3 linked regions of the Rattus norvegicus genome follow. The protein of the gene in region 2 interacts with the protein of the main gene of each other region in a pairwise test. Links are inferred from orthologs where the notes say so. Each region holds a gene or a part of one and is shown on either strand. Other genes may lie near its edges. The genes, in order: Flnc, Myoz1 and Trim63.

Region 1 (11,006 bases), on a different chromosome or scaffold from region 2:
ACAGTCTCGGCCCCCAGCTTCACCAAGTCTTCCCTCAGGACACCTTTGAGGGACACTGAAACAAAACAGATAAAGGCCCGGCCCCCCACCCACCAAGTGGCACAGTGGGGTACGGGGGATTGTATCACCCCGTCACACCTAAGGCAGGTGTTTTAGTGTCTGATTCTGTGAGTGTGGATAGGGGGGTGGCACATCTGTGTGGGTATGACTTTGGCAGGAAGTGGGGGCCTGGGCTGAGGGAGGCGCTTCTGAGATTCAGGGCACATTGACCTTGAAGGGGCTTCCAGGGACACTTTCATCACCCCACTTGACAATGAGGATGTAGTCTCCTTTCTCCTTGACAGTGTAGGTGACATTGTAGACCCGGTTCCCCATGTGCTTCACATATACCTCTTCGCAGGGGGTCTTGGGCCCGTGCACACCCACCATCATCATGTTGGTACCTGGAGAGGGAGGCAGAGAGGAGTGACTCACACCAGGGCCACAAGCAGCCCACACCCCTGGCCCTGGACACCTTCCTGCTTCTTCCCCCCTCCCCCCAGACGAGCCTCTGGGATGGAACATGCCTGCTTTGCTGCAGTCCACGGTGAAGGAGTTCTTCTGACCCACAAAGGCCTGGGACAGGCCGGGGCCCCTTGTCACCACCTTGCTGGCATCTGAGGAGAACTTGGGGATGGAACTGTAGCTGGCGCCGCGGCTCGAGGAGGACTTTGTCACAGTCTCCACCAGAACTGTGGATGTTTCGTGAAGGCTGTGGCCTCCAGACAACCGGGGACCTGAAGGGTAGAGTAGGTGGCCATGGGCCTAGTCAGAGGACTTCCTGCTCTTTTCTAGGACACTGACAGTCCTCTGAGATGGGCACTGGGCAACATTGTGTGTGCTAGGCTCCCTGCTGTCCTCAGCTGCAGTTTTTGAAGAACACTACCTGTCCCCTACAGGCAGCATCTGACCAGCTCCAATCCCTGCTTACCCCTGGGTCATAGCCACTTCTGGTTCTGCCTCTCACCCTTCCAGGCTTCCTCTTGGAAGTCAAGTTAACTGACAGGGTGAGAGTATGACTTTAAAACGGAAGAAAATGGGGATATAGCTCAGTGGTAGAGCACCTCCCTAGCATGAATAAGGCTCTGGGTTCAAACCCCAGTACTGGAAAAAAAAAGATTTTCTTTTCTTTTTTGGTTTTCAAGACAGGGTTTCTCTGTGTAGTCCAGGCTGTCCTGGAACTCACTCTGTGGGGCAGGCTGGTCTCAAACTCACAGATCCACCTGCCTTTGCTCTCCAGTGCTGAGATAAAAGGCAAGCGCTTGGCAATGTATTTTTAAAGATTCATAGAATCTTTACAGAATGGGCCACGGCCTAGCCACGCCCACCTCCATCATGGCAGCCAACCACGCCCATGTCCATCATGGCAGTCAGCCACGCCCACATCCATCATGGCAGCCGGCCACGCCCACCTCTGCCTCTAGTAGTAACTAGGACCATAACTGAAAGCAGACTACAATCAAATGGGAATGGCCACCGGAGCCAGCCATGCTGCGCTGGACTATGTGGACCTTCTTCAGCCAGGGCACTCACCTGTGACCTTTGCTTTGAAGGGACTGCCCACAATGTGCTGAGGGCCGCCATACTTGATGGCAATGAGGTAGTTGCCAGGAGCCATGGGCGTGTAAGTGACTACATGGCCCTCAGGACACTCCCGACAGTCCAGCTGCACCTTGGAAGGCCCATCGATGGTGACAGACAAGGCCCCCGAGCCTGCATTCTGGGTGTTAACAATGAACTCTGACGATACACCTGGAGGACAGAGGGAGCGAGCTGAAGATAAGGAAGAACGCAGCCCAGGGTAGGGCCCTGGGTTCCTTGGGAAACACCAGGTTAGTACCAACAAGTTCCCAACCTACCAAGGCGTGCCTGATCCCCCCAAATCCAACCCTGCTCCCCTCGGTTCAGATGCTCACCCGTAGTGCCTCCTTCAAGCCCAGGCCCATAAGCTGACACCAAGCCTGGGTCCCCAGCTTGGCTCTGCTCCCCAACGCGGATCTTGAAGGGGCTTCCAGGGATGTGGGCACCGTTGAACTTGACATCAATTGAGTGGACACCGTTCTCATGGGGGATGAAGCGGATGGTATGCTTATCTGTGAAGCAGAAGGTTGGTGAGTGAGCCTCCATGTTTCTTCACCCCTTTGCCAGAGATCCAGGTCTGACAGGAGATGGCAGAGACAGGGCCAGCTTACCACTGTCCAGTTCAGAGACATAGCACTCCTCCACAGCTCCTGAGGGTGTGTGTACCCGGGCATCGATCACGCCACGTGCCCCATTAAGCTGCACCGCGAAAGATGCTGGCTGGTTCACCTTAAGCCCTGTCTCCTGCAAAGACCACAGAGCACAGTCAGAGTCCTGGGAAGCTGAGGCTAGACCAGTCCTCTCTGCAGCTCAATGCTGCTCTTACTGTAGAGCCAGTCCAATGCTCCCACCTCTCCAGCCCGGTCGCTGCCTGCCAGCCCAGATTGCAGGGAAGGGCCGAGATGGCAACGGCTGCTCTGCCATTCTCTGCATCCGCCTGTAGGCACCCTCCTAGCCATGCTGGGTACCACAGTGGGTGAGGAGTGGTGTACCCCTGCCTCAGCTGAGGAAGCAGAGGCCAGACACCGAGGAGTGCAGGCCTAGTAGAGCTTGACAGCGCTGTGTGGGCTGCAGGCCCAGACGAGCTTGGATGTGGCAGGCTGAGTGTAGATTGCCCCAAGAAGGGAGTGACCAAGGGGGAGCACTGGAGAGAGCACCAGAAGGGCTCGGGGGTATGAGGATGGAAGCCTGGGCTAGAGTGGAGGGCTCGCTGTTGGCTGATAGGACTGCACTGAGGGTCAGCTAAAAGAATGGGGCGAGGGGCTGGAGAGATGGCTCAGTGGTTAAGGGCACTGACTGCTCTTCCAGAGGTCCTGAGTTCAAATCCCAGCAACCACACGATGGTTCACAACCATCTGTAATGGGATCCGATGCCCTCTTCTGGTGTGTCTGAAGACAGTGACAGTGTACTCATATATAATAAATAAATCTAAAACAATGAATGTGGGGGTAGCGTTCTCTGTCCTCTCCTCATGCTCTTTGACAGTGTTTCCAGTTGCCAGCGTGGCCTGCTGAAAGCCTGCATGGTGTACATCCCCACATGGCAGAAGGAGAGGGGACCTTTCTAGATGTCACACCAGGAAGAAGTACAGCCCAGTGCAGCGGTAGGAGGGGTATAGCCCAGTCTACATGTGCTTGCTCTGGCGTCCTCTGCAAACTCGCTGACGTTTATTTGGTGTTGATTTCATGTGCTTATTCACTGGGATTCACTGAGATGTGGACATGCTCCCCGAAAGGGCCCTGACCCACACTGCATGTAGTGGGAGAAGGGACTGCAGCCAACTCATCCACCAAGCTGTCACTGGCCATGTGGGCCTGCCCTCCTAGACCCCTGCCTATCTCCCAGGCCAAGTTCCCAACCGTGGCACAGACCTGGAGGCTGGTGACGGTGAGGCGGCGAGCATCATCTGAGAGGGAGGCCACAGGCACCACAAAGGGGCTGTCTGGGATGTGCTCATCATTGAACTTGATGGAGACCTCATAGTCACCTGGGGAAGGAAGCTAGTCAGCACCCTTTCCATGATAAGGGCGGAAGGAACCCCCAGCCCAGCCTCAGGGCTCAGCTCTGAGTGGGTGAAGGAACTTGGGGTGCAAAGGGAGTAGTAACTGGTGGGGGGGAGTCCCAAAGCCCATTGGTCAGCAAGTAGAAACCCTCTCCCCACTCAAGTGTAAGCATTTACCTGGCTCCTGGACAACATAGGAGACACCACAAGAACCATCTTTGCGGTCTTCGAATGCGATCTCTGCCTTGCTGGGACCTTCCACAGCAATGGACAGGCCCCCAGCTCCAGCTTCTCGGGTCCAGATGCTAAACTCAGCTGGACGGCAATAGGGTAGGGGTGGCGTCTTAGTGCTGTTGCCCCTCACATTGGCTGCCCTGGCCCCCAGCTCCCCCTGGCTTCAGCCCCTTACCTGGCACACCAGCTACACCTCGCTCCAGCCCTGTGCCTCCAGCCCGCACCTTGTGGGCACCACCTTCACCTAGCGGACCCACGGTGAACTGAAAAGGGCTTCCAGGCACATGTTGGCCCCGGTACTTGACAGCGACTGTGTGGGGGCCCATCTCCTGGGGCACAAAGCGCACACTGTATGCGCTGTCTTCTCCCTCAACGATCTCTGCGGCTTCTGTCTTGCCAGATGGACTGGTCACCTGGGCTGTCATGTCCTGAGAGCTGGCCTCACCTGAGGGGTTGGAGTGATGTCAGGCCAACAAGAGGCTGTATCTGTTCTCCGTGGTCTCCTCCCTCCTCGGTGAACCCCATTCTCTGCTCAGACCTGTCCTGGCCATCTAGGCCAAGGTGGCCAGGGATGAGGCCATTCTATCTCACAGAACAGGAGGCCCCAGCCTCCCTATGAGGGCCCGGATTCCCAGTGCTCTCTGCTTACCTTCCTGCTGTCGGGTGATGCTTCCAAAGGAGCCCAGGCGTTCCCGGCCGAGAAAATCGCCGAAAACAGCAGGGAAAGGGTCTCCGCCGACCTGGGTGGACTCCTCCACCCGGACTTCACGCTTGGTCTCCCCACCCCGAGTCTTGCTGATCTCTGTCCGCTCCGTGCGGGTGTACGTGTGACTGCTACGCGTGAAGGTGCGAGTCAGGCGCTCCTGGGCGGACACCATCTGAAACCAGTTTCCTATAGAAAGCCCCGTGGTGGGAGTGAGGAGGGAGGCAGCAGGACAGAGGCCCCAGGGTAGGCTCAAGGCGGCAAGGGCATCCCATGGCCACCCCTGCTCCACCCTGGCTCCTCTCTGCCTTTGCAGCATCTACCTGGGATCTTGAGGTTGAGGTCACAGGTGCTACCAATGGTGGCGATGGAAGGCGCCTGTCTGCGCCGGGTGATGCTCTCCTTCATGCGTCCCTCGCCAGTCACCTTCACGGTGAAGGGACTTCCTGTGAGTGAGAGAGAAAAAAGACTCAGGTTCACAGGTCACCTGCCTGGTCACCGGATTTGTCCCCTACTGAGTCCCCGCCCAGAGCCTCACCAGGCACGTGTTTGTCAGCAAACTTAATGTTGATGATGTAGGTGCCAGGTTCAGTTGGACAGTAGGTGACTTTGCAGGTACCGTCTTCCATATCCTCACAGTTAATGTCCACCTTGCTAGGACCTTCGATGCTCAGCCCCAGGCCTCCGTAGCCTAAGGGATGTGAGAAAGATGTCTCCCCTGAGCCCATGATACCTGCACCCACACTGCTCTCCTGTCCCGTGCAGAAGGCTCTGCCTAGGACAGACGTCAAATGAGTGTAGGGACCGCTAAGGAAAATGGCACCATGAGATGTGGAGAGGTGATCCAGTGTTTGTCATCAAGGCTTACTAAAGAGGCCTTCGGGAAAATTCCATACCTTGGACCTCTTGGATTCTAGTGAGTGGAGACTAACAAGCTCAGGACAGCTGAGCTTTCTCTCAGCTGTGACAGAGCTGACTGACGGGGGACATTCGCTTCCCCCCAGTGGGCTCTAGACTGAATCCCAACAGATCCAAGAAGCTCAGGGCAGGAGGGTGTGGCCAGAGGGGGAGGTTATGGGCAGGAAAGGGACAAGAATTTGTGGAGTGCTAATGATATGGGGGGTTCTGTGTCAAGAAGTACCTGCATTGCGAGTGTCCACAATGAACTCTGCCACTTGGAAGGTCTGTCCCTCGGAAAGGCCCTTGCCCCAGACTCGAACTTTGCTGGCATCGCCGATCTCCGAAGGCCCAACCAAAATCTTAAAGGGGCTGTTGGTGACGTGCTTGCCACTCTTGCGTACGCTCACCACATGCTCACCGACCTCCTTGGGGGTAAAGGAGATCCCTGTGGAGAGGGGACAGTAAGCAGAACATCCCCGAGGCCTCCCTGACCCAGGTACACCCAGGAGGCACTGCACTCACCAATGTGCCTGTTGGGCAAGCGCTTCAGCAGGCAAGGCTCCTCATTGCCTGAAGGAGCACGGATACTGGCTGTCAGCTGGCTGAGGTCACCCTCTGTGATCTTCAGTGACACATCGGTGGAGGTGCCCACATTAAGCTGGGACGTTCTCATTGAGTCGTCACCTGGGATACAGTTGGGACAGATCAGGATGTCGGCTCCAGACAGACTCTAGCATCCCTGGTCTGCATTCACCTTAACTACTAACAGCCTCAGAGGGACCCAGCATCCCTGTGCACTGTGCCTGTCTCAGTCCTGGGGAGGCTAAGTCTGTCCTTGAACCTTTATGTATTTGGTCCTGAGTCACATGGACCAGATGCTCTCTCTATGGCTCTGATCACAGTGCTAATTTGTCTCTGGGTTTTCTCAAAACAGTGTCAATATTTCAAGAGTAACTTGAAAACTGAAATAATAAAATATTTTTTCTTTTTTGTTGTTTGTTTGTTGTTTTTGGTATTTGGAGACATGGTCTTTCTATGTAGGCTTGGCTGACCTAGAGCTCTCTGTGTAGACTAGGCTGGCCTTGAGCTGACATAGATGATCACGTTTTTCAAAGCATGGACTGGTGGGATGTTCCTTGCCTGTTGTGGAGAACAGCATCCTTACATTTACTCCAGATGTTCTCCTCCCCTCAGCAGCCTCTGTCCAAATGTCCTGGGTGAGCTGACTTGAGTGTGTGTGGGGCAGGGTGCCCATGCCTGAATGTCCGTCTCACCTGTGATCTTGGCCGTGAAGGGGCTCCCTGGGATATGCTTGTCGTCAAAGCGCACAATGATGCTGTAGTCTCCAGGTGCTGTGGGTAGGTAGGACACGGTACAGGTGCCATCTTTGTTGTCCTTGCAGGTGATCTCCGCCTTGGATGGGCCCTCCACAGCCAGTGACAGCCCCCCTGTAAGCGAAAGTGGCTGAGATCAGAATCTATCCCTGTGCCTACAAACCTGGCAAGTCCCCTCACCTCTTTCGGCAGTTCTCCTCACCTTCCCCAGCGTCTTTGGTGACAATTGTGAAGGTGGCAGGCTTGTTGACCATGCCATGGCTCAGACCTGGCCCATAGGCACTGACATGCCCGCTGTTGATGGCATCCACATAGAACTGCAGAGGGCTCCCTGGGTAGTGACAGGTGGAGCTGGATTAGCATAGGGACAGGGGCTTCCCACAGCCATGTTGGCCCCCAGCATCTTCAACAGCTTTGGATTTTGGAGCCCCGTGCCTCTGCTACATGGACTTAGAAGCCCATTACCATCAAGAAACACATTTCCCAGAACCTTCTTTGGTGCCTGTACATGGCAGTGCTTACATATGTATTTAAAGGAGGCTGGCAGGACCAACATGGTGTTGGCTCCTCTTACCGTGGTCTCACCCTGCTCCCAACTCACCAGGGATATGGTTGCCATCGTACTTGATTCCCATCTGGTGCAGGCCTTTCTCTGTAGGTGCGTATCTCACTGTGATGGTACCGTCCTTGTTGTCAGTGATGTTGGGACGTGCTGTTTTACCAGAGGGCATCCGGACCTCCCCTGAAAGGCAGACATACTTACATGTAGGTAGGACACTAGTTTCTCCCAACACATGTCCCTGATGTCCCAGGGCCTGTTCTCAAGTGGCTCTGCTTTCCCCAGAGGCCAGACACTGGGAAGCAGCCCATTCAGGAATAGAAGGACTAGGAGACAGAAGGCTTGAACTTGAGTTCTCATTCTGCCCAACTTGTGAGACGCAACCTAATTTGTTTCCCCTCTCTGGGCCCTAGGTCTCATCCCTGCAATGATCTTAGCTGAAAGGCCAGGAAGCGTTCTCAGTTCTCAACAGAGTCTCACGTGTGGTGCACCCATTACCTGTCAGCTCCCCTTTCTGCACAGTGAATGGGATGACCAAGTTGAAAGGCCTCAGCATGGACTCCAAAGGCTCCACAGGAACCACGGGCTCCTCTGTGGCCTGTAGCAGGTGAGAGGAAAGAGAAGGCTGTAGTCGGTGGAGAACGCCGGGGAGTGTGGCCTGCCTCAAGACTGAAGTCAGAGAGAACGAAGAAAGAACAAGGTTAATAGTGAGACACCAATGGCAGAAGATGCGTCAGCTGCAGGAGAAGGGGTGCCATACTCAGATTTGGGCTCCCTCTGCCCATCCTAATGCCTGCATTCCCCAAGAGGCCCAACCATGGCCCAAGCCTGCAGAACAGAAGGAAGAATGAAGAAAGTAGGGAGAAGGATGACGAGGCCTGTCGTGGGAAGCTCTAGTACCCAGTGTGTGGGGCAGGTGCCAGGCCGAAGTGGGGCATATGGCTGGTGCAGCTGCAGCACTTCCGCAGGCTCCTCCACATGAGGCAGCGGGTCACATGCCTGGGGAATAAGGCACAGGGTGTACAATGTGGGGGGACCTAGATCTCAGAACCAACTCTCAGAATGGCCTAGGACTCAAGTCCTGGGTGGGTATCTCAGGTGTTCTATCCTTGTCCTGCAGGGCCACCCCTGTAGAAACAAGAGCTAAGGACAGTGGCCCAAAGGTCAGAAAAGAACACAGTGAGCTCCTTCAGAGAGGGATGATACCTCTCTGGTCAAAAGCAGAGCTGCACCACCTCCCTGCACATTGGAAGGCTACAGGAAATACAAAGGCTCATTCTAGAGTACTCTGGCTCCAGGATCTGTTTATCAGACATGGGGACAAGTTCTCTGACTCCTTGAGGACAGCTCCTAGGATCCCTTGCAGCTACTGAGAGGCATATTCTGAGTCCTTGAGGACAGCTCCTAGGATCCCTTGCAGCGACTAAGAGGTATATTCTCTGATTCCTTGAGGACAGCTCCTAGGATCCCTTGCAGCTACTAAGAGGCATATTCTGCATAACATGCACCATGGCCATGAGCTTACCAGCACATGGAAGGGGCTGTTGGGAATGTGTTCACCCCCAAAGCGGATGGTGATGACATATTTGCCCGGCTCAGGTGCTGTGTAGTAGATATCAAAGGTACCATCGTGGTTCTCAACTACATCCACATCGAGCTCTGCCCCGTCAGGTGTGGATACTGTGCAGGTCACCTTCCCCTTGCCTGCTGCCTTGGCATCCACTGTAATCACAGTCTCCTCTCCAATCTGGATTCTGGGACCCAGGCAGGCACCTACCACATGAAAAAGCCAGATCAGGGGCTGTGGAGGCCATGTCCAGCTCCCCCTTTCCCGGCTGCTCCCACAGCCTCCAGCCCTTAGTAAAGAAAGAAAAAGTTACTCACCCAGTCCATGGCCTCCAATGGATACTGGAAATAGAGAAGAAAGTTAGGTCATTAAGGTTCAAGATGACCTAGAGGTGGTGGGAGCTGGGCTGGGCAAAGAGTATAGACTTTTTGCCAGCATGGCCCCAGGACTGGGCTGGGAGACTGAATGCACTCTAAGGGGCTGACGAGAAGGGACTCAGAGTTGGTACTCACCTGTAACAAGGCACTTGCTGGCATCCCCTGTAGGCAGGGCGTGGATACGGAAGGGTGAGTAAGGGATCTCATCGCCGCCATACTTGATGGTGATGGTGTACCGACCACTCATGTCTGGCAGGTAGGACACGGTGTATGTGCCATCCCCATTGTCTCGGATGTTGGCCTTCTTGGGTTTACCCTCGGGATCCTAGAGGAGAAGGAGAGGTCAGGCCTACCTATGTCCACAGAGGGCATATATGCTGGGCAGGGGGCTGTGCCTAGACTTACCAGGATCTGGACTGTGAGAAGCCCCTCACCAGCATCACGAGCATCAATGGTGAACTCCACGGGCAGGCTGGCGGGGATGCCGGAGGCATTGAGGCCAGGGCCACTGGCCCGCACTTTGCTGGCATCGTGGGCCGGAAGCACTTTGATCTTGAAAGGGCTTGAGAAACAGAAGGAGCGGACAGTTGTCAGGGAGTTGGAGCTTGAGATATGTGAGCCTTCCCACATGGGCAGAAGGAGTGACTCTGCAGGGCAGCCCTGAAGGCCTGCTTCCCAGGACATCTTGAATCTTGGAGAAGGGTCACTGAAGGACCCATGGAACATAGATAGTGTTTTCTCCAAAGGAAGATGCTGTTAATTGTTTAAAGAGTCTGCACACTTTCTGTGGCTCTTTTCCTTGATGCTTATCTGGTGCTGAAGCTAGTGGGGTGATATTACCTTCTGGGTAGGGAACCTTGGAGTGGGGTAGGATGGGGTAGTCCCTGAAGGAGGTTTAGACAAATAAGGGGGGGGGGGACTCTGCCCAAGTCCTGGCCTTGAAGGTTAGGCCCTAGGAGAAGCTCTAGCTCAGCATGGATTGGTCAAGGCTGGCCCTCACCTGCGTGGCACCTCCTGGTCAGCATACTTGACAGCTACTGTATAGGGTCCGTCAGTGGCAGGCGTGTAGTGGACAGTGTGGGTACCGTCGCCATTGTCACGCACCTCCACAGGCTCAGCCACACCTGGGCAGAGGCAGAGGAGTGTCAACAGGGCCTCCTGGAACCTCCCCTCCCTCCCCTCTTTCACTCCAGACATTCCATACCTGTGGGTCCCAGCACTGCCACCTGTAGAGGGGCCCGGCCAGCTTGACTGCAGTCCACTGTGAAGGTCTGAGGTACCCGAGCCCTGACGCCAGTCCCTAGCCCTGGCCCTGAACACTTCACCTTCCCAGGGTCCACAACATCCTTCACAGGAACTCGGAATGGGCTTCCTGGGAGAGTGAGAACAGAGATGGTGGAGGTCAGCCTCTCCCCACTCCCTGGCACAGTTTGTCTTCCCGCACTGAGGATCTGTGGAGCAGGCAACCTCCCTGCTGCTGAGAGGCCCACTGAGACAGAGCAACATGAGAAGCAGTTTGGAACTTGCTGAGAAATAAAAAAAGAGAGTAAGCGAATTTGACTGCAGAACGAGGCAGGGCAAACCTCACCTTCTTAGACTCAGCCTGGGAAGAAAGCCCTCCTAAATCTTTAAAATGTTAACAATGGAATTAAAAAAAAAAACCAGCTTATGTCTTTTGACATTGTAGCTGAAATATGAAGAGGACACAG
Region 2 (9,865 bases):
CAGCACTAACTGTCTGCTCCCTTTCTTTCTGCCTCTGCTGTCCATTGCCTCCTGAGATGCTTCTTTGGATCTCAAGGCAAAGGGGAAGAAGCACACCGCTTCGGCTGACTGAACCCTGGTCAGACGGTCTGCTGGGAATTTTCATAGGCCTTCCCTCTTCCTGAACCTCAGGCAAGGAGGGCAGGATCCCGGCTCAGGGTCTCAGTGCCCCCGTTTGTGCCATTTGAGCTGCTTGTGCTCATCGACTCTATTAATAACCACCCCCCTCCCTCCCTCCCTCCCCCACTGCCAGGGCTGCCCCTACGCTTGCCCAGCTCAGGTTCTCCAGTCACAGCAGCTCAGTCATCCAAAGCTGCTGGACCCCAGGGAGAGCTGACCACCAACTGAGAGGCTGGTAAGTCTGTGGTTCTACCACAGGAAGGGGCTGGAGCCCACTTTTGTGACCTCCATGTTTGCAATCGTGATTCTTCGTCCTCAGGGAGTGGTCTCTCTTCTCATCTCTGCTCAGCTGCTGGTGGTCCAGTTGGAGCTGCAGAGTTGGAAAGAAAGGGACCTGAGGAGTTGGGAGGAATTAAGATGTGTGGGGAGGTACCTGACAGATGGGGAGGGGTAGTTTGAGATGCCACTAGGTTGGTAGAGTGTCGTTGTGTTTGTGTGACAGAACACCACAGAAAACAGCAGGACTGTTAGGGAGAGACTGGACTGTGTGTCTTTTTCTACCTTGTCCCCACCCACAGCCAGATCTCATTCCTGTGTTTCTGTCCTCCTACAATTCTCTACCCCCATGCATGATATTGCTGAGCTGACATCTGTCCCAGCTCAAACGCCCTCAGCTTGCTCTCAGGCCCAGCTCTGCAGCTTGGGGTAGGAGTTGCCTGAAGAAGCAAGGAACACACCCATGACCTCTCGGGCCATGTTCCAGTTGGCTTCCTGGAAGAACAGCTTCTCCTTCCTATGGAGAAGGGTTTGGCTGAGTCTCCTCAATACTAGCAGAACATTTCTCTACCCCCTTAGACCTTGATGGAAGCCTGAGCAGGAGACCAGAGTCTGGAGCCATAGTTGTAGCCTGCTATCCCAACACAAACAAGGACTTTAAATCATGCCAGGCCCAAGAAGCCTGAGTGCATTGCTTTGCCAGTGTTGTATTTGAACCCCCTTCGGCCATAGCTGTGTTTCCGATGCCCATACAGGAGTTATGGAAAGCGAACATAGCCGGTCGGTAAGACGTAAGGAAAGGGGTGCAGTTCCGCCTCCTGTCCTGCTTCCAAAGAAAACAGAAGTCTTGGCCGTTTACCTTCTGGGGATACAGATCACTGTGAAAACACATGCACGCATGCAAACATGAACACATGGGAAAAACTCTGAAGAAAATTTGTCCTCGACCCCAAGTTAAGTAGTTCACTGTAGTGAACATGCTTGTTTTCCCCTTTCCTGTCTTTTTTCAAGCCTGCTTCCTGCTCCTTCCAGGTCAAATCCCCCTCCACCATGCCGCTCTCGGGAACCCCGGCCCCTAACAAGAGGAGGAAGTCAAGCAAACTGATTATGGAGCTCACTGGAGGTAGGGCGTGCTTGAGCGCCCAAATGTAGGATTTTTAAGAGCATCCCTGAATCAAGAGCTGCAGAAATGATGTAAGACCGGTTATAAGTCAGAGTGAAAAAGACAAGAAGAATGGCAGCTGTGGAGGGTGTGGGAGATGGGGTGATGGGAGAGGTAAGAAGAGCAAGGAGGAAGAGACAGGAAGAACCAGAATTCCCTCTGTGGCCTCCAGGCCTTCCCACTGATTACTCGGAGACAACACCGGGCTGAGATTCAGGACAGGACCCATGGTCAGTGAACCTGTGGGAGGCACAGGCTAGGCCTCACTGAATGGTTAACTCCTCTTTCCTTTCTAAGTTCGAGGGAACTTATGTAAGCATTTAAAATAGGAAACTGCACAGCCCTACTCCCTGGGGATGCACACGAGTTACCAAGTGTGAAGTTCTCCTGATACCTCAGGAGTCAGAGTTCACTGAATAAAGAGAGAAAGGAGAGGACAAGGATCTGCGTTTAGAGATGGGCTTTCCCTGGCCGGTGTAATTCCTCCAATGGCCACTGTCTGTGGTGTTCTCTTCACTTGTTCTCCTTCACTCCAAGCCCATGCCCCTTGGCCGTGTTCTTTCTCCACTCGAGTATTCAAACACTATATATGGTTCCCTTTGTCCCCTTGAGTTCTCACTCTAAACCATGAAATCAAAACTTCTTATGAAATTAAAACAAAAGCACTTCTCATGGGCTGTGTAGGGTGGTGCATGCCTAGCACTCAGGAGATGGGGGCGGGGCGGGGGCGAGGGCGAGGAAATCTTTGTGAGTTCTAGGCCAGTCCGTGTTGGGGTAGACCAAATCAACATGGTTCCACATGGAGAGGTTTAATGAGAGAAGAGTAGAAGAGGGGAGAAGTAAAGGCCGGCCATGAGCACCAGGAGGGAAGAGGGGAGGGGAATGGGGAGAGAAGGAACAAAGGGGAAGAGGAAAAGAGAGCAGAGAAGAGAAGAGCAAAGAGAAGGAGGAGGGGGGCAAGCAGCCCCTTATATAGTGTCAAACACAGCTGGCTGTTGCCAGGCAACTGTGGGGGTGGAGCTTAGACAGAATACCAATAGTCAGTGCTACAAAGTGAGACCTTGTCTCAAACACACATACACACACACACACGCACGCACGCACGCACGCACGCACGCACGCACGCACGCACACGATGGTGAGATTACTCCGTGGTTAACATCACTTGCTGCTCTTGCAGACGACCCAGATTCAGTTCCTAGCACCCACACGGTGGCTCACAACCATCTGTAACTCTAGGTCCAGGGGATCTGAGTGCTCCTCTCACTTCTGTGAGTACCAGACATGCACATGGTGCACATACATACATGCAAAGAAAACACTCATACATATTAAACATAACTAGATCTCTGAAAAATCTTTTAAAAGACACACAAGACAAACAAAAACTTGTAAGCCAGACAGCCCTGTGCCCGAATTAATCTCTTTTAGAATACACTTAGCTGTGGGTGGGTGGCGCTTCCCTTCCCAGTCCAGAAAGCCTTCATTTCTTCTTTCTGTCTCCTCTTCTCTACCTCCTGGATAAGGCGGTCGGGAGAGTTCGGGCCTGAACCTGGGCAAGAAGATCAGTGTCCCGAGGGATGTGATGTTGGAGGAGTTGTCGCTCCTTACCAACCGAGGCTCCAAGATGTTCAAGCTGCGGCAGATGCGGGTGGAGAAATTTATCTATGAAAACCACCCCGATGTTTTCTCTGACAGCTCAATGGTGAGTATGGACATCAACCACTCTCTCAAAGCCCAGTGTCTTTCCTGGCAGCTTCTCGGTTGCCCCCAATTTCCCCAGATACCACCAACCTTGTCTCCAGGAGAAATGAGAAACTCATTAAGATCCTCCATATATTCAGTTCCCAATGACTCGAGGGTGAGTTAGAATTAATTCCTGAAGCTTAGTCCCCATCCTAGAGCCAGTGCAGGCATGAGGACCACACCCATAGGGAGAAAATTCCTTCCCAGTGTGGCTACGTGTTAAAATAAGGTTGCCAGATAAAACATGGGACACCCAGTCCTGTATTTTGACACTAAGATACACAATTAGTAACTTTGTATTAAAAATGTGTTCTTTGTATTACTGGGGACATAAAATAATTAAAACCTACAGAATCTTGGGGCTGACTGTATCGCTGAGTGGCAGATGCATGGGACCCTAGGTTTCATTTCCCCCCAAAATCAAACAGTAAGCAAGCAAAGGTCCAAAGGGGGTACCCAGTTAAATTTGACCTCCAGATATATACAATGAGCTGTGTAGCTTGAGGAGGCTTGTGAGTTTGAGAAAAGTTTTTTAAATGAATGGTTGTTAAATATATTGCCTGTAACATGTAACCTTTTGGATTTAAAAACAATATAAGATTTGAATAATAAAAATTAGGGTTTTGTTGTTGTTTTTAGAATAGTACCATGTAAATCTGGCTAGCCTAGAACTATGTAGACCAGGCTGGTCTCAAACTCACAGAGCTCTGCCTGCCTCGGTCTCCTGATTTCCAGGGTTAATGGTGTGCTATATTTTAAATTTAAATACACATTTTTCTTTTGGTTTTGGTTTTTGGTTTTTGGAGACAGGATTTCTCTGTGTAGACCTGGCTGTCCTGGAACTCCCTTTGTAGACCAGGCTGGCTTTGAACTCACAGAGATTCACCTGCCCCTTCCTTCTGAGTGCTGGGATTAAAGGTGTGTGCCATCAACTACAAATAATTTCCTTTTTTTTTTCTTTTCTTATTAAAGTTTTATTTTTTTGGCTTTTTTTTTATTGGCTATTTTCTTTACTTACATTTCAAATGTTATTCCCTTTCCCGATTTCCCCTCTGGAGTCCCCCTATCCCTTCTCCCTTCCCCTACCTCCATGAGAGTGTCCCCCACCTACCCATCCACTCCTTCTCATTTCCCTGCCCTGGCTTTCCCCTACACGGGACATTACAAATAATTTCTCAATGTAAACACATCCCACTAAATATTTAAGGCATATTTTACACTAAAAATGTTATATACCTGAACATTAAACTTGGGTGATTATAATTTTACTTGGTACATCTTCGGATGTTAGAAGAGTTTACGGAAGTTTTATAACTATCTCCATTTTGAAAGATGACAGGAAACTAAAATCTTCCTTCTTTAAGGTCATCTCCTCCAAGACAAGAAGAGTAAGGGGGTTGGAGAGAGGCCAGGCACAGGATGTTACCACAGAGGAGCGCGGGACTGGCTCCATTTCCTCTCTTCCTCCTCCACCTTCTCTGGGTGGCTGGGGGGACAGTGGAAATGGATGCAGACGTGGACGCGGCCCAGCAGGAGTGTCTGTCATGAGCCCTTCTGCAGGATCAGAGTAAAAGTGCTGAGTGGGTCACAGCTAACTTTAGGAGGCCAAAAGCCCTCCTCTGTGCTGGGTCTGGTTACACTGGGTAGAGGGTGTGGGACACAGGGTAAGGTGGCCAGGAGGGCCTCCTCAAGGAGTTGGTGGAGTTATTTTTAGGCTTTGGAGCCCAAACCAGTATTGCCCTTTTGGCTCTCCTCCCCCGCTTCACCTGCTACAGTTTCACTGTAAGAAAGTTCTGGCCTGATGGGCCATCAAGAGGAGGAGAGGAGCAGGCAAAGGAGGCCTCCCTGCAGGGCGAACTGAACTGTGGCAGTTTCTTGTTGAGCAGGTATCTTGGTTTGCTTTGCCTTGCCAAGATAGGATAGGGAGTGGAGAATGAGCTGCCTTACTCTGAGGTGTAATCAGGGAATTGCACCTCTCCCAGAAAGCAGTTCCCTCGGGCTGACACTCTTCTCTATGCGTTCATTAGCGAGGATTTCTCAGAGCCTTGGGGTCTTGTGGCTGCCCCTTAGCTCTGTTGCCTGCTCCTGTACATGTGCCTCTGTCTGCGTTTTCCACACCCATTGCTAATCTTCCTCTTGTTTTGTACTTTCTTTTCAGGATCACTTCCAGAAGTTTCTTCCCACAGTGGGAGGACAGCTGGAGTCAGCTGGTCAGGGCTTCTCCTATGGCAAGGGCAGCAGCGGAGGCCAGGCTGGGGCCAGTGGCTCTGCTGGACAGTATGGCTCTGACCGCCATCAGCAGGGCTCTGGGTTTGGAGCTGGGGGTGCAGGTGGTCCTGGGGGCCAGGCTGGCGGAGGAGCAGCTCCCGGCACAGTAGGGGTTGGAGAGCCAGGATCAGGCAAGTATTCTCACCAACCAGAAGTACTGTATCTGATGCCCAGGGCAGACATGTCCCCAGGAATGAGGCCTAGTTGAGATGTGGAAAGAGGGAGACTGAGGTGTCTTGGACCCAGAAGGTATCCAGGATACAGCAATGTGTTTGCTCCACCCACAGCCTTATCGTTTAGTTTCTTTTCTTTTCTTTTTTTCTGGTTTCTCAGATTCAGTCACAAATCTCACCCCAGACTCCATTATGTTACAAACCATATATAATTCCCAGGATATTGTACCTCTGACCCTCGACTCAGCCGCTCCCCTAGTGGTAGGGTATGGGACTAGCTTTCATTAGCCACTGATAGTGGCTGCTATCATCTGATGTATGTTTCCCTTCCATGGCTACCAGGTGACCAGGCAGGTGGAGATGGGAAACACGTCACTGTGTTCAAGACATATATTTCCCCGTGGGATCGGGCCATGGGGGTCGACCCTCAGCAAAAAGTGGAACTTGGCATTGACCTGCTGGCATATGGCGCCAAAGCTGAACTCCCCAAGTATAAGTCCTTTAACAGGTAGGATAGCGGGGGAGGAAGCTGACGTGTCCCGTTGTGTGACACCTTGCTCTACCTGGTTTAAGTTCAGATGTTTCAGAGGGGGCTAAGGTGTAAGGACAGGAATAGGGGACCCTCATGGAGGATCCCCTGCCTCTCATAGCGGTGGAGTGAAGGGAAGATCTCTATGTTAGTTTGGCACTCATTTTTTTCGGCTTGGGTTTTTCGAAGGTAAAATGGGGATCCCACACTTTGTGGTTGGAGGTGTGTCCTGGCTCCCTCCCATGCAAGGTGACAATGTCTTTACTCTCCCTACAGGATGATTCTTTCTTTATCCCATGCTCCATGTTTCTATTGTTTAGAAATGGGCATTGAGGCCATGGCTAGGACGTCTGTGTGAGGCAGGTCGAGGAAGGTCTACAGAAGTGTTTCCAGCCACTCTCCATTTGAGATGGGGGTAGAGTTGCAGTTGTAGGTTACAATATACATTGCAATTTAAGATGGTCTCATACTGTTGGCTCTATAGTGGCCAAAATGCTGGTGTTTGTCCCAACTGTCCATGAGATCATGTAGTCTACTAGACTCATCTCATTGTTAACTTCAGATAGACAGCAAGCCAGGTAAGTGGGTGTTAAGGGAGGACGAGGACTGGAAGCAAGGAAGCAATGTCTAACTATGATTTATGGACTCTCCTCCCTTAAAGCAGGGTGATAGCTCATTGACAAGTGCTTTCTCTTTTATTCTGATTCTTAACTATATGACATGTTCCCCTTTCAGGACGGCAATGCCCTATGGTGGATATGAGAAGGCCTCCAAACGAATGACCTTCCAGATGCCCAAGTTTGACCTGGGGCCTCTGCTGAGTGAACCCTTGGTCCTCTACAACCAGAACCTCTCCAACAGGCCTTCTTTCAATCGAACCCCTATTCCCTGGTTGAGCTCTGGGGAGCATGTAGACTACAGCGTGGATATCGGCATACCCTTGGATGGAGAGACAGAGGAGCTGTGAAGTGTCTCCTCCTGTCGTATGCATCATTTCCCCTTTCTGGTTCCAATTTGAGAGGGGACGCTGGACAGGATGCCCCAACTGTTACTCCAGTATCCTTGTGGCAATGGAGGGTAGAGGGTGGGAGCCTTTCCACCCTTCAAGTTCCCACTCCAGAGCACCCCTCCTGACCAGCTAAGAGCTCCCATCCTGCTGTTCCATATGGAATCTGCTCTTTTATGGAATTTTCTCTGCCACTGGTAACAGTCAATAAACTCTAAGGAAATGAACTCACTCTTCCTCTGGTATTTGAAGGCAGATGAGAACTGAGGCTGATGATGCACAAAGGTTAACTAAAGCAAAAGACTGACACTTCACTCAGACTTTAGGACCATATATGGGCTTTGGTTCTTACACATCCACACCTGCATTGACACCCACAAAAACACACTCATCAGGTATAAACAAAGAGTATCATTTGATATTACATGAGATAAAATCTTGTGTGTAAGCCCACATGCTGGCCCCTGTATGTATAAAGCTAAGAAGCTAATGCACACTGATTAGGAAGTAAGTGTTGGTAACTGCAGGTAACACTTAGTACCAGAGTTATCTTTGTGTAGCCAATTAAAAGCTGGGAAACACCGAGAAAGGAAAAATGAGTTTTAAGAAAGTGAAGGTTCCTTTGATTTTTCACAGTTACTGGTGGGGCTAACGATACATCTCAGTGGTTTAAGTTTTTACTGATCTTCAAAAGGACCAGTCTGGATGTCATTTGTAATCCCAGTCCCAGGGGATATGTTACTATGCTTCCTAGGGCATCAGGGACGGCATGTAGTGCACACACATGCATGCAGACAAAACACTCATATACATACGATAAAAATAAGTAACTCTAAAGTTACCAGAAACCAGAGTAAGCTTGGGAATATAAAAACCTATATGGGGCTGGAGAGATGGCTCAGAAGTTAAAGCAAACACTTGTTCTTGTAGAAGACTGGAGTTTAGCTAGTTCTGAGCACCCACATGTGGTTCACAACCACCTGTACTTCCACAGACACCCAGCACCAGTGTGGTGCATATACACACATGTAGGCAGAACCATCATAGACGCAAAAGGAGACCAGACAGCATTGAGAAAGAAGCAGGAGAAACCAGCTATAGTAACGGTGTGCTTGGTTCTATGAGCACAGCAAGAACTGATCTAAAGGTTCCAAAGGATTAGTGATGTTCAAAAAGAGCTTGAAGAAACCTGACAGCAGCACAACAGGAACGAGTGACAATACTCTTGTACTGATTTCCAACTTAGGAACCTGGAATTCATTATGTAGATCAGGCTGGCCTTGAACTCATAGAGATATGCCTGTCTCCTAAGTGCTGGAATTAAAGTATACTTTTAAAATTGTTTTGACTACTGGGCTGGAGAGATGGCTCAGCGGTTAAGAGCACTGACTGCTCTTCCAGAGGTCATGAGTTCAAATCCCAGCAACCACATGGTGGCTCACAACCATCTGTAATGGGATCTGATGCCCTCTTCTGGTGTATCTGAAGACAGCTACAGTGTACTCATATATAATAAATTGTTTTGACTACTAAACTCTTTTTCTTTTCAGAGACCAGCCTTGGCTACTTGAGATCCCAAAAGGGAGAGGAAGAGGGGGAGAGGGGAGGTGAAGAAGAAGAAGGGAAGAGGGGGAGGGGAAGGGGGTAGCTTTTGGAGAATTCTTATGTTCTTTAAATGTCTAAGCAAAACTCTGTATGTGCATTTTCCTAAGACGGTTTGCATAGTTTAGATGCCTCTTCAAAGTACCTGAAATAAGGTTTAGATGCAAACAGTGCATTTGGAAATGAAATCCCAGCAGCATAAGGGGAGAAAGCCAGGAACGGGTACTTTAGGTAATGGGGGCTGAGTCCCACTGGAAATCTCAGACAGTCATGCTACTCCAAGAATGGCCCGTGTCATTCAGCAGCTGTGTCTGAGGAGCTCAAAAGTGGGTATGGTGGCTTGCATTTGGCCCCAAGATGGGCATTTGGGAAGAGCAGGAGGATCATGGGAAATATGAGGCCAGCCTAGGCACAGAGTAAATTCTAGGCCAGCCAGGGAGGGCTACACAGCAAGCTTCTGTCTCAAACAATAACAACAAAAACCAAGGAGACAAAAACTGGAATGCAAATGGATATGGCGGCTAGGGCTTATAACCACATCGGAGGCAGATGGGCATCTTGAGTTCAAGACCTGCATGAACTACAAAGGGAATTTCAGGATTGGAGCTTGGGAGGCTGAAAAAAAAAGGGGGGGGGGAGAAGGGAGGGGAATGCAGATTCAGGCCTGAGTACTTGTTTTATTACTTTCTTTAGGTAATCCTACATGTTGGAAAATCCTGAGAAATTTTACCTCAGGCTGGGCAATGGTGGTGTATCCCTTTAACCCCAGAACTCGGATGCAGAGTCAGGATGATCTCTGTGAGTTCGAGGCCAGCCTGGCCTACAGAGTGAGTTCCAGGACAGCCATGGCTACACAGAGAAACCCTGTCAAAAACAAAAACAAACACAAAAACAAACACAAACAAACGAACACTGCTCCCCCACCCCCAAAGCCAACCCAAAAC
Region 3 (11,006 bases), on a different chromosome or scaffold from region 2:
TGATGATTGGCTGAGGGCTGTCAGGGTGGGCTGCCCAACATGGGAGTCTCAAAAGACTCTAGTGAAATGCTTGACTGGAGTCTGGGGCAGGAGAAAGCCCTTTCACAGAAGGGCTATCCCAAGGCCTTAGAGCTGTTCAGAATCCAGAAGGGGAACAGACTTAGGTTGGTACAGGGGCGCTGGCTGTTAATCTTGTGTATGCCAACCCCACCCCCCACCCAAGTTCCACTCCCTTACTCCCAATTCACTGGAGGGGCAGGAGGGTGGAGACCAACTTCTTCATGAAACTAGGGTACCTGGCCCTCCCCTGAACCTGGCTCTGAACAATCTGTTCTTGTTTACGACCCCCATTGCAGGGCAACAGCGATTGCTCACCCCTGCATGTGATCTGAGAGGGCCAAATCTTTGAGGCCTGGAGGAAACTCAAGCCCTGCCAGCCGCTTGGCTTCGGAATGCTCAGCTGGTCCCCTCCTGGGGCTCATGTGACTGAAGGGCAGCTATAAATATCAGAAGGGCCTCAGACCAAGACAGAAGCCGGGTGTTCGGGGAGGAAGACAAAGAGGATCCGAGTGGGATCCCTTCCACTCGGTGTGACGCAGGTGGAAGAGACAGTCGCAGTTTCGAAGCAATATGGATTATAAATCTGGCTTGATTCCGGACGGAAATGCTATGGAGAACCTGGAGAAGCAGCTCATCTGCCCCATCTGCCTTGAGATGTTTACCAAGCCTGTGGTCATCCTGCCCTGCCAGCACAACCTCTGCCGGAAGTGTGCCAACGACATCTTCCAGGTCAGCGCTAGGCAGGGCCGGGACCTGGAATCCCCCCCCACCCCGCGCCCCCCCCCAGACCTCCCGCGGCTTCTCAGAGGCCCTTCCCCTCTCAGCCTAGAACACTTGCTCCATTAAGAAGCCATTCAGAGACCCCTGGGAAGGACTAGGGCTGGAGGTAGAGAAGGGGCTAAGGGGAAAGGGGGAGCTACTCCAGTCCTTCCGCAGTGTACTCATCTAGTCCCCACCCTGGCCACAGCTCTCTCCTCTGCTGGGAGAGCTTGCTGTTGATTCCCCAGTCAAGAGTCAAATACCTCAAGTGATAAGAGGAGGAGGTGGGTAGAGAGGAGAGAGAAACCAGGCCCTGGGGCCGGAGCCAGCTCCAGGTGGCAGGGGGCCCAGACTTTGGGAGGCGGGTGGCAAGAGGAACGTAACCTCAGCAGCATCTCAGAGGCTGCGTCCTCCAACAGCGGGCGAAGGGGCCCCATCTTCTGAGGAGGGAAAGGGCACAGTTGAGGCAACGCACTGGGGAGAGCGTCCAGAAGGACGACAGGAAATGCTCTTCCAAACTCAGGTCTAGTTGCCTATTCCAATAATCTCACGTTCAGGAACCTGAGGCAGGAGGATTGCTAAGAGTTTAGGGTCAGTCTGTGCTACCTGATTAGTTTGAGATAACAAGATCCTGCCTTAAAAACAAAACAAAACAAAAAAATTTCCCTACAGTTATCTTTAAGGTAATATCCTAGGAGCTGGCTCTAATTCTAAGAAAGACCTGTGGTCTCCGTGGTAAACTGAGGCATAGCGAGATTATAGTTGCGCGTCTGAAGTCACACGACTTGAACTCATGTTGGCTGGTACTGAACCTCTTGCCTGTTTGAGTGCTTCAACCACGATGCTTCAGCACATGGTTGGGCTGGGCCAAGGCCAGGAGCCGGTGGGTGCCCTTTGGTTTGGCAAGTGTGTTTGGGGCAACTGGGGCAAGGAGAACTGAGACCGGAGAGGATGGGAACGCCCGCCTTTTCTGCAGGCTGCCAATCCCTACTGGACCAACCGCGGTGGCTCGGTGTCCATGTCTGGAGGTCGTTTCCGCTGCCCCTCGTGCCGCCATGAAGTGATCATGGACCGGCATGGGGTGTACGGTCTGCAGAGGAACCTGCTGGTGGAGAACATCATCGACATCTACAAGCAGGAATGCTCCAGGTCAGTGTGCAGCTGAAATGCCCCGCCTCCTGACCACGCCTCCTGACCGCGCCTCTCCCCAGACCCCTCCCACCTCAGCGAGCCACATTCATCAGCAGGCAGAGCCAACAACCTCTTCCTCAGACCAAACCTCAGCTCTTGAGTTTTGCGTATACGGGGAGCTAGAAAAAGAGTCCTGAGACTAGGGTGCAGGGGCGTGTGTGTGTGTGTGTGTGTGTGTGTGTGTGTTTGCGCTCATGGTAGAGATTGGACCTCATTAGGCTAGGGCTCTTCCACTGAACTACATCCCCAGAGCTTGCAGTTTTAAGATGGAGCCTTGACATATAGTGAAGGTTGGTATCAACTTGAGATCCTATTGTTTTTCAATCTCAGCTTTAAAATTTTATTTCTTTTATTTTGCTTACAAAGAAGGGTGTGTGTGTGTGTGTGTGTGTGTGTGTGTGTGTGTGTCTGTGAATACCAGAAGAGGGTACTGGCTCCCTGTATTAGTCAGGGTTCACTATAGAAAAATAACATATATTAATATATATGATCGATTGGAATGGCTTACAGGCTGTGTGTGGTCCAGCTAGTCCATAATGGCTATCTACCAACAGAAGGTCCAAAAATCCAGTGGCTGTGCAATCCACAAGGTTGGATGTCTCAGCTGGTCTTCATTATGTGCCAGAGTCCCCCAGAGAGTAGGCTCTAACGCCAGTGAAGGAACAGACTTGCTATTGAGAGCGAGAGCAGCAGGCCAATAGACAGCCCCCTTCCTCCATGTCCTCTCTATGGGCTGCCAGGACAAGGTGTGGCCCAGATTAGAAGTGGATCTAGATTAAAAGTGGGGCTTCCCACTTCAAATGATTTAATTAAGGAAAAACTCCCTGGCTAAGCAGTGGTGGTGTACACCTTTAATCCCAGCACTCAGGAGACAGAGGCAGATGGATCTCAGTGAATTTGAAGCCAGCCTGGTCTACAGAGCGAGTTCTAGGACAGCCAGGGCTACAAAGAGAAGAAACCCTGCCTCAACAAACAAACAAACCAACAAGCAAACCCAGCCACTTGGATTTTAGTTCATTACAGATGAATCAAGTGGACAAGATTCAGCTCTCCCAATCGCCCTGAAACCAGAACTGGGGTTACAGACAGCTACGAGCTGCCATGTGGGTGCTGGGAACCAAACCCAGGTCCTTTGCAGGAATAGTAAGTTCTCAACTGCTTTCCCCAGCCTTCACAGTGACTACCATATACCTCTTTGTTACATCGTGTCTCTTGTTGCTAGAACACAGCACTCCAAATGGACGTTGTTGAGCCCCAGGCACGGTGGCGTAGGCCCTGTGGTCCCAGCTACTAGGGAGTCTGAGGCAGGAGGATCTCAGTTTCAAGGTTCATCCAGGCTACATTGCAAATGCAGGGCTTGCCTGGACAACTCGGAAAGATGCTGATTCGTAGTCAAACCGTACTAATGAGAATGAGGGGCTGGGATGTAGATTGGTGATAGAACTCCTATCTGACACAAGGCTCTGTCCGGTCCCCAGTGTCTTCTGCATACCATGTGTGGAGGTCAGGGAGCAACTTTGTGGAATCAGTTCTCTCCTGCCTTTACATGAATTCCAGGGATTGAACTCAGGTCGTTAGCCTTGTGCTGCAAGCACCCCTCCCCCCTGAGCAATCTTGTCAGCCACAGATGCCTATTTTGGATTGTGGTGGTGGTGGTGGTGATGATGGTGGTGGTGGTGGTGGTGATGATGATGATGATGATGATAATGACGACGACGATGACGACGACGTAATTTATAGTATACTTACGTCAGCCTAATGCTGTCGAGTTTTGAAAATTATGCTGTGCCTTGGAGGTTTTTCCCTAATAAGGAAAGACAATAGCTGCCCTTAAGCAGGGTCTGCTCAGAGCTCCGCAGGCTACATCCCGGCATGGTTGGCACAGCTCTGAGAGACACTGAGGTGTGAAGGACTGAGATCACAGAAAACAAGTGAGTGTTTGACCCTGAGGCCTGGCCACAGAGAGGGAGGTGTTCTCAGGCAGCCTGCAGGCCCTCTCCACCCGGCTACACATCCTGTACCACATTCCCAGGGCATCACAACAGGTGGCAGTGGCACTAGGGAAATCCTCACCACTGTGGCCACAGTATGGGGCTCCTGGGCTCAAAGATTGAAAATAAAAACAAAAAGATCAAAACTGAGTGTTTGGAAAGTGACTCCCTGGAGGGGGCCCGGTAAGCCTGGATGTGACTAGTCATGCAGAGCTGTGGGGAGGTATGACAGGGACACCGATGGGGGGGATAGTCACTGTTGAAGATGGATTGGTGTAAGGGGCTGGGGGAGTGTAGAAATGGCAGCTTATCCAACTGAATGTAAGGTCTATCTAGCCTCAACTCTAAAACCCCAGCCTAGGCTGGGAAATCACTTATGTGGGAGAGGAGCATGCCAGGTGCCCTAGTTGAAGAAGCCATAAAGGGAGGAGACAGAAAGCAGAAGCTGTGTGGGGCTGGCTAGATGGTTCAGTGAGTACAGGTGCTTGCAGCCAAGCCTGATACCAGAGTTCTCTCCCCTGGACAAACATGGTAAAAGGAGAGAACCAACTCCTTCAAGCTGTTTTCTGACCTCCATGAATGTGGTATGGCACACATTGCCTCCCCCTCCAAATACACATATACTAAATAAATGGCATTTTTTTTTCCTTTTCTTTTTTTTCGGGGCTGGGGACCGAACCCAGGGCCTTGCGCTTGCTAGGCAAGTGCTCTACCACTGAGCTAAATCCCCAACCCCATAAATGCCATTTTTAATATTAAAAAAGAAGAGATTCGGGGCCTTGGAGAGCCTTTGTATAGCGGAGGTTTGCTCTGGGCTTCTATGTAGCCTTGCCTTTGCCCTCCGACCAAGTGCGCATGTATGGCTTAGGGTGCAGAGACTGCCCCCTTCTAGGACACCCTCAGGATGTGTTTACTGATGTATTTCATTTCCACGGTCTCCACACAAGGTACTGTATGTTATAGACTCAGGCAAGGAAAACAAGTAGGCTTCCTGCCTAGCTTGAGGGTACAGTCTCATGGGTTAAATATAGATGTGAAAGCTGACATCAGAATAAATTGCCCAGGCCCCAGCAACCAAATCTGTGGGGGCTAAAATTAGAGCAGGAGAGTTCTGGTCTCTTCTGTCTGTGCTGCTGGGCCACCTTGGGCAAGTCCATTTATTTCCCAAGACTGTTGTGTCTCCCATATGGTTAGCACCTTCTGGTCTACCTGGGATTCTGGGGCCCTCCCCATACCCTCTGCACCAACTCAGGCCAGGTCCAATGCTGGGGGCCTGAGTTTTAGGGCTAGGAACAGGTTTGTTGGATATCATTAGCTTCTTTGACCTTGGGCTCCCAGAAGTTAAAAAGGAGACTGCTTGGGGCAGCTCGATCCACTGGGAGCTCGCATATGGATGGGTAGCTTCCTGTGCTTGAAGCTAGGACAGGACAGGGAGATGGGACACCCTGACCTGTGATTCTTCTCCACCTCAGTCGGCCCCTGCAGAAAGGCAGCCACCCGATGTGCAAGGAACACGAAGACGAGAAAATCAACATCTACTGTCTCACGTGCGAGGTGCCTACTTGCTCCTTGTGCAAGGTGTTCGGGGCTCACCAGGCCTGTGAAGTTGCCCCCTTACAAAGCATCTTCCAAGGACAGAAGGTACTGGCTACAGCTGCTGTGCCCAGAGGATTCTGGGGTGTGGATTTGACCCTTGTGGATGTGCTGAGCCGGCCTTTCAGGAATAGTCTCTCAGGAGGGACTTCCCAGGTCACAGGGACAGCAGCCGATGCCTCCCTGGGGGAGGTGACTGAGCTCATGGGTTATACTTAGAGTCACTTGAGAGCCCCTGGGTGTGGCCATGGGGAAGAGGCCATGGCTTCCCTGTCCTGTCCACTCTGTAGTCCCAGACCTCTCCACCTGAGCCTCATATGAAGCATAAGGCAGATTTGAGGCTCTTCCCTGGGCCCTGGCAACCCAGCATCCTGCCACGGAGTAAGCTGTAGCCCTACTGTCTGCCACACTTCACTCGTCTCTTTCTTCTAGAACTTTCCAATCTATTCCTTCTCTCCGAAAGTAGCAGGCTGGGGATGGTAGCACAGGCCTTTAAGCCTAGCACTCAGGAGGCAGAGGCAGGATCGCTATGAATTTGAGGCCAGCCTGGTCTATATTGAGTTCTGGGCCAGCCAGGGCAGCACAGTAAGGCCCCTGTCTTTAAAAAAAACTGGGGTGGGGGCAAGAAAGAAAGAACGAAAGAAAAGGAAGGAAGGAAGGAAGGGAGGGAAACTTGTTTTCTTTTGTTTCTTTATCAGTGCTTTGCTGTGTGTTTTGGGTTGCTCAGTTTCCCTCTCTGGGCCTCATCTGTCCATAAAGGATACATCTGTGGTAGTCTCTGCTTTAGACCTGAGCTGCACCTCAGAAGGAGGGATAGCAACCCTATTGGTGACTCTGTCAAAGACAGGGGCATGAACACCATGTTGCTATAATTCTGGAGAAGCAGCGGGCCCTGAGTCTATTTCTGTCTCTCCTCTCTCACGCCCCTGCCGTCCAGACTGAACTGAGCAATTGCATCTCCATGCTGGTGGCAGGGAACGACCGAGTTCAGACTATCATCTCGCAGCTGGAGGACTCCTGCCGAGTGACCAAGGTGAGGGTGTAGAGCTGCCCTGTCAGCGGTGAGGAGTTCAAGCCTCCGGTGCAGCCTGTCTCCGGGAAAGCCCTGAGCTATGGTGCAGATTGGGGTTTGGAGTCTTGGGTACCCAACAGAGATGGCAGGAAAGGACACAGTCATTTCTCCATCACCCTTGGCGAACACAGCAGCTGTGTCAGACCCTGTAGAAGGACAAGACAGACCCAGTTGGTCCCTGACTGCAGAGATTCACCAATAACTCCCTGAATTGTTCCAGCATTAATCATTTATCGATAGAGCAAGAGTCCTGACCTGTAAAAGCTCACACCTGACTCAGGACTGTGGAACCTCAGGGGCTCTGGAACAATTCAACATTCTGCACTTCTTCCTTGCTTGAATTTTATTTTCCATGTTTACTGGTGTTTTGCCTGCACATATCTGTGCCTCATGTGTGTGCAGTGCCAGAGGAGGCCAGAAGAGGGAGCCAGATCCCCTGGAAATGGAGTTCCAAGATGGTTGTGAGCCAACACAAAGGTGCTAGGAACTGAATCAGGGTCTTCTGGAAGAGCAGGCAGTGCTCTTAACCACCAAGCCATCTCTCCGGTCTTCTTTCTGTCTTTCTGCCTTTGATTTGATGTTTGTTTGTTTTTCTGGACAGCGTTTCTCTGTGTAACCCTGGTTGTTCTGGAACTCACTCTGTAGTTTGAACTCAGAGCTCCAGGCCAGCCAGGGTTATAGAATTAGACCCTGTCTCGAAAGAAAGAAAGAAAGAAAGAAAGAAAGAAAGAAAGAAAGAAAGAAAGAAAGAAAGAAAGAAAGAAAGAAAGAAAAGAACAGACAGAGGGAGGGACGGAGGGAGGGAGGGAAGAAAAAGAAAAGAACAGAACAGACAGAGGGAGGGACGGAGGGAGGGAGGGAGGGAAGAAAAAGAAAAGAAAGGAAAAAAACCTGGTCCCTTCTTGAGGAGGGTTGGAGCTGGTAAGTTGGGGAAGAGCCATCCATCATCACCACAAGTGGACTGCTCTGTGGAGTGGAGAGGACCATTGTAACCCTGAGAGGTATCTCATGCCGAAAGGCACCACTGCCAAGCCCATTCGACTTTTTAAGACCAGGTCTCACTAGGTTGCACCAATTCAGCCTTCTGTGGGTGCGGGCATTTTCCTCTTCGATAGCTTTGCTCCGTGTGCGATCGAGTCTTGCCTTGCTGCAGAGAGTCCCTGGGGCCCTTTCTGACTCAGAAAGTGGGTTGGCACTTCATGGGATGTGACTGTAGGATTTCTGTCCTCAGGAAAACAGCCACCAGGTGAAGGAGGAACTGAGCCACAAGTTTGACGCCCTCTACGCCATCCTGGACGAGAAGAAGAGTGAGCTGCTGCAGCGGATCACTCAGGAGCAGGAGGAGAAGCTGGACTTCATCGAGGCCCTGATCCTCCAGTACCGAGAGCAGTTGGAAAAGTCGACCAAGCTTGTGGAAACAGCCATCCAGTCCCTGGATGAGCCCGGAGGGGCCACCTTCCTCTTGGTGACTGGAATCTGAAGGGTTTGGGTAGATTTGAACTATTACTCTTTCCTGATCTTCAAATGGGCCTGGGCTGTTTAAATCTTGGTGAAATGTCAGGCATCTCCGGTCACTACAGGCTCCTGACCATAAATAATCCCAGTTCTTGGGCAGCTGAGACAGGAGGACTCCAAGTTCAGGGGAAAGCAGGACAGTTTGGTGGAATAGTATCTCAAAATAAAACATGCCAGGCTAGGCTTGGTGACACACGACTTTGCTATCCCAGTACTTGGAAGACACAGGCAGAGGCAAGAGGATCTCTGTGAGTTTGAGGCTAGCCTGGTCTATAGAGCAAGCTCCAGGCAGCCAAGACTGCATGGTGAGACCTTGTCAATAAATAAACAAAAAAAACAAACATAAGAAATATTGGGAGAGGAGAGATGATTCTACGGCTAAGAACATGTCTTATGTCGAACACTTTTAATCCCAGCACTGGGGAGACAGAGGCAGGCAGATCTCTGTGACTTTGAGGCCAGCCTGGTCTACAGAGTAAATTCCAGGACAACCAGAGCTACATAATATCGAGAACTTGTCTCAAAACAAAACAAAGAAAAATAACACTTTGGTTTTGTTCTTACAAAGGACCTGGGTCCAGTTCCCAGCACCCACATTGTGGCTTACAACTACCCATAGCTCCAGTGCCAGGGTACCCAATGCCCATTTCTCACTTCCAAGGGCACCAGGCACATATGTGGTTCACATACACACACGCAGGCACTCATACATACACTTGAAACAAAAATAGGTCTTTTAAACAATATCAGCAAAACCCAGAGGGGCTGGAGAGATGGCTCAGGGGTCAAGAGTGCTTACTATTCTTTCAAAGAACTTGAGTTAGGTTCCCAGAACTCACGTCTGGCAGCTCACAAATACCCATAATCCCAAGAGCAGTGGAACTTGACACCCTCTTCTGGCCTCCAGGGGCTGCAACATACATACATATACATACATATACATACATACATACATACATACATACATACATACACACATACACACATACATACACACATATATACATATATACACATACATACACATACATACATACACATACATGCATACACATACATACATACATGCATTACATACATATGCACACATACATATACATACATATATACATACACACATACATACATTACATACACATACATACATGTATATACACACATATATACATAGATACACACATACATATATTACATAAGTACATACATGCATACAAAGACAATTTTAATGTGAGTACACTGTAGCTATCTTCAGACACACCAGAAGAGGGCATTAGATCCCATTAGAGATGGTTGTGAGCCACCATGTGGTTGCTGGGATTTGAACTCAGGACCTCTAGAAGAGCAGTCAGTGCTCTTAATCACTGAGCCATCTCTCCAGCCCCCAAGAAAAATTTAAAAACATATTAAAAAAACTACAATACCCAGAATATATGCCTTCAAGCTCTTATGGTCTAGCTTTGTCCAACCCATGGAAGAAAGTTTGGTTGACTCTCGTCCAGGAGACTTCAGACATTTTGAGTGCTTGGTCAGAGAACCCTGGCTTCCTGCCCAGACAGTAGAAACAGACTGGGGTTCATGTTGGCCAAGATCTGTGAGAAAATGTCCGAGTTCTATTTAACAGGGCAGGATTCAAGTTACGCCTGTACCATGGAATGGTACCTCGAGTCTATCCTTTGGAATTTCGATGTTAACCTCTGTTCTTTTTCTCCACAGAGTGCCAAGCCGCTCATCAAGAGGTCAGTGTTCCCAGGACTACAGCCTGTGTCCCTAGTTCCCCTCAGGGCTTCTGACACCTGCCCAATGGATCCCTGTGCATTAGTTCTGCCAGGATCGGGGGGGATCGGGACTCACCCCAGACCATGTGCCCTACTCTGTTAGATCATCCACTCTGCTTGACCCTAAAGAAGAAATGTCCTCTGCCCCTTCATCCCCTCACTTCAGGGATGGATTGTGGGACTGGGACGGACCCACATAGAGCCAAGGCTAAGCTGTCCCTTCCTGTATGCAGCCCGAGACCTCACCCTATCTCTCTCCCCCACAGCATTGTAGAAGCTTCCAAGGGCTGCCAGCTGGGGAAGACAGAACAAGGCTTTGAGAACATGGACTACTTTACTCTGAATTTAGAACACATAGCAGAGGCCTTGAGGGCCATTGACTTTGGGACAGGTAAAGGACATGATTGTGCTACTTGCTTTGTGCATGTTTGACCTTGGAAAGGCAGTGCTCCTCTTGAGCGCTGATCGGAAGCAGATTCATATTTTAAAAAAGCCAGATTTACGCAGTCAATGTTGACAGGGCCTCTCTAAGGAGCCCTGTCGGTCTTAGAATTCTCTAAGTGGACCAAGATGGTCTGGAACGCACAGAGATCCGCCCGTCTCTGCTTTCTGAGTGCCGAGATGAAAGGCGTGTGCCCTCCATGCCTGGCTCCACAGTCAACTTAGTGATGAATCCAGGGCCTAGCACTGTGCCCGGTTCATAATTATTACTAAGTAAATTATGTGCGGATCCAAAGTTCATGACATCTGGCATTAGACAGATCTGACTTCAAATCCCCATTCTGCCATTTTTGTGTTATCTGTGTGACCTTTGGCATCCTTCCACCCTCCTCCTTTGTGGTCTCCCATTTCGTTGGATTTTTTGTAAAGATTTATTTATTTATTATATATAAGTACACTGTAGCTGTCTTCAGACACCAGAAGAGGGCATCAGATCTCATTATAAATGGTTGTGAGCCACCATGTGGTTGCTGGGATTTGAACTCAGGACCTCTGGAAGAGCAGTCAGTGCTCTTAACCACTGAGCCATCTCTACAGCCCTCGTTGGAT

The links.
Region 1: the proteins of Myoz1 (region 2) and Flnc interact in a two-hybrid assay, tested with the Homo sapiens proteins (2 studies listed by BioGRID and IntAct). The link is inferred for Rattus norvegicus from reciprocal best matches to the Homo sapiens genes MYOZ1 and FLNC.
Region 3: the proteins of Myoz1 (region 2) and Trim63 interact in a two-hybrid assay, tested with the Homo sapiens proteins (2 studies listed by BioGRID and IntAct). The link is inferred for Rattus norvegicus from reciprocal best matches to the Homo sapiens genes MYOZ1 and TRIM63.

What each region holds. Positions count from the first base shown.
Region 1 is NC_086022.1:59,015,811-59,026,816, reverse strand, and holds part of Flnc (filamin-C), read right to left. Parts: intron 10,670-11,006; coding exon 10,502-10,669; intron 10,422-10,501; coding exon 10,298-10,421; intron 9,860-10,297; coding exon 9,703-9,859; intron 9,623-9,702; coding exon 9,433-9,622; intron 9,262-9,432; coding exon 9,238-9,261; intron 9,127-9,237; coding exon 8,879-9,126; intron 8,353-8,878; coding exon 8,254-8,352; intron 7,952-8,253; coding exon 7,852-7,951; intron 7,537-7,851; coding exon 7,396-7,536; intron 7,126-7,395; coding exon 6,997-7,125; intron 6,909-6,996; coding exon 6,735-6,908; intron 6,145-6,734; coding exon 5,983-6,144; intron 5,906-5,982; coding exon 5,702-5,905; intron 5,252-5,701; coding exon 5,099-5,251; intron 5,007-5,098; coding exon 4,884-5,006; intron 4,750-4,883; coding exon 4,507-4,749; intron 4,303-4,506; coding exon 4,033-4,302; intron 3,939-4,032; coding exon 3,801-3,938; intron 3,609-3,800; coding exon 3,493-3,608; intron 2,365-3,492; coding exon 2,232-2,364; and 9 more.
Region 2 is NC_086033.1:3,693,283-3,703,147, forward strand, and holds Myoz1 (myozenin-1), read left to right. Parts: upstream 1-330; 5' UTR 331-394; intron 395-1,446; exon of another isoform or gene 1,447-1,467; 5' UTR 1,468-1,485; coding exon 1,486-1,558; intron 1,559-3,123; coding exon 3,124-3,302; intron 3,303-5,501; coding exon 5,502-5,742; intron 5,743-6,126; coding exon 6,127-6,292; intron 6,293-7,048; coding exon 7,049-7,280; 3' UTR 7,281-7,549; downstream 7,550-9,865. UniProt on the Homo sapiens protein: Myozenins may serve as intracellular binding proteins involved in linking Z-disk proteins such as alpha-actinin, gamma-filamin, TCAP/telethonin, LDB3/ZASP and localizing calcineurin signaling to the sarcomere.
Region 3 is NC_086023.1:151,816,696-151,827,701, forward strand, and holds the start of Trim63 (E3 ubiquitin-protein ligase TRIM63), read left to right. Parts: upstream 1-540; 5' UTR 541-630; coding exon 631-789; intron 790-1,795; coding exon 1,796-1,968; intron 1,969-5,473; coding exon 5,474-5,642; intron 5,643-6,531; coding exon 6,532-6,627; intron 6,628-7,897; coding exon 7,898-8,131; intron 8,132-9,894; coding exon 9,895-9,917; intron 9,918-10,222; coding exon 10,223-10,347; intron 10,348-11,006. UniProt on the Homo sapiens protein: E3 ubiquitin ligase. Mediates the ubiquitination and subsequent proteasomal degradation of CKM, GMEB1 and HIBADH.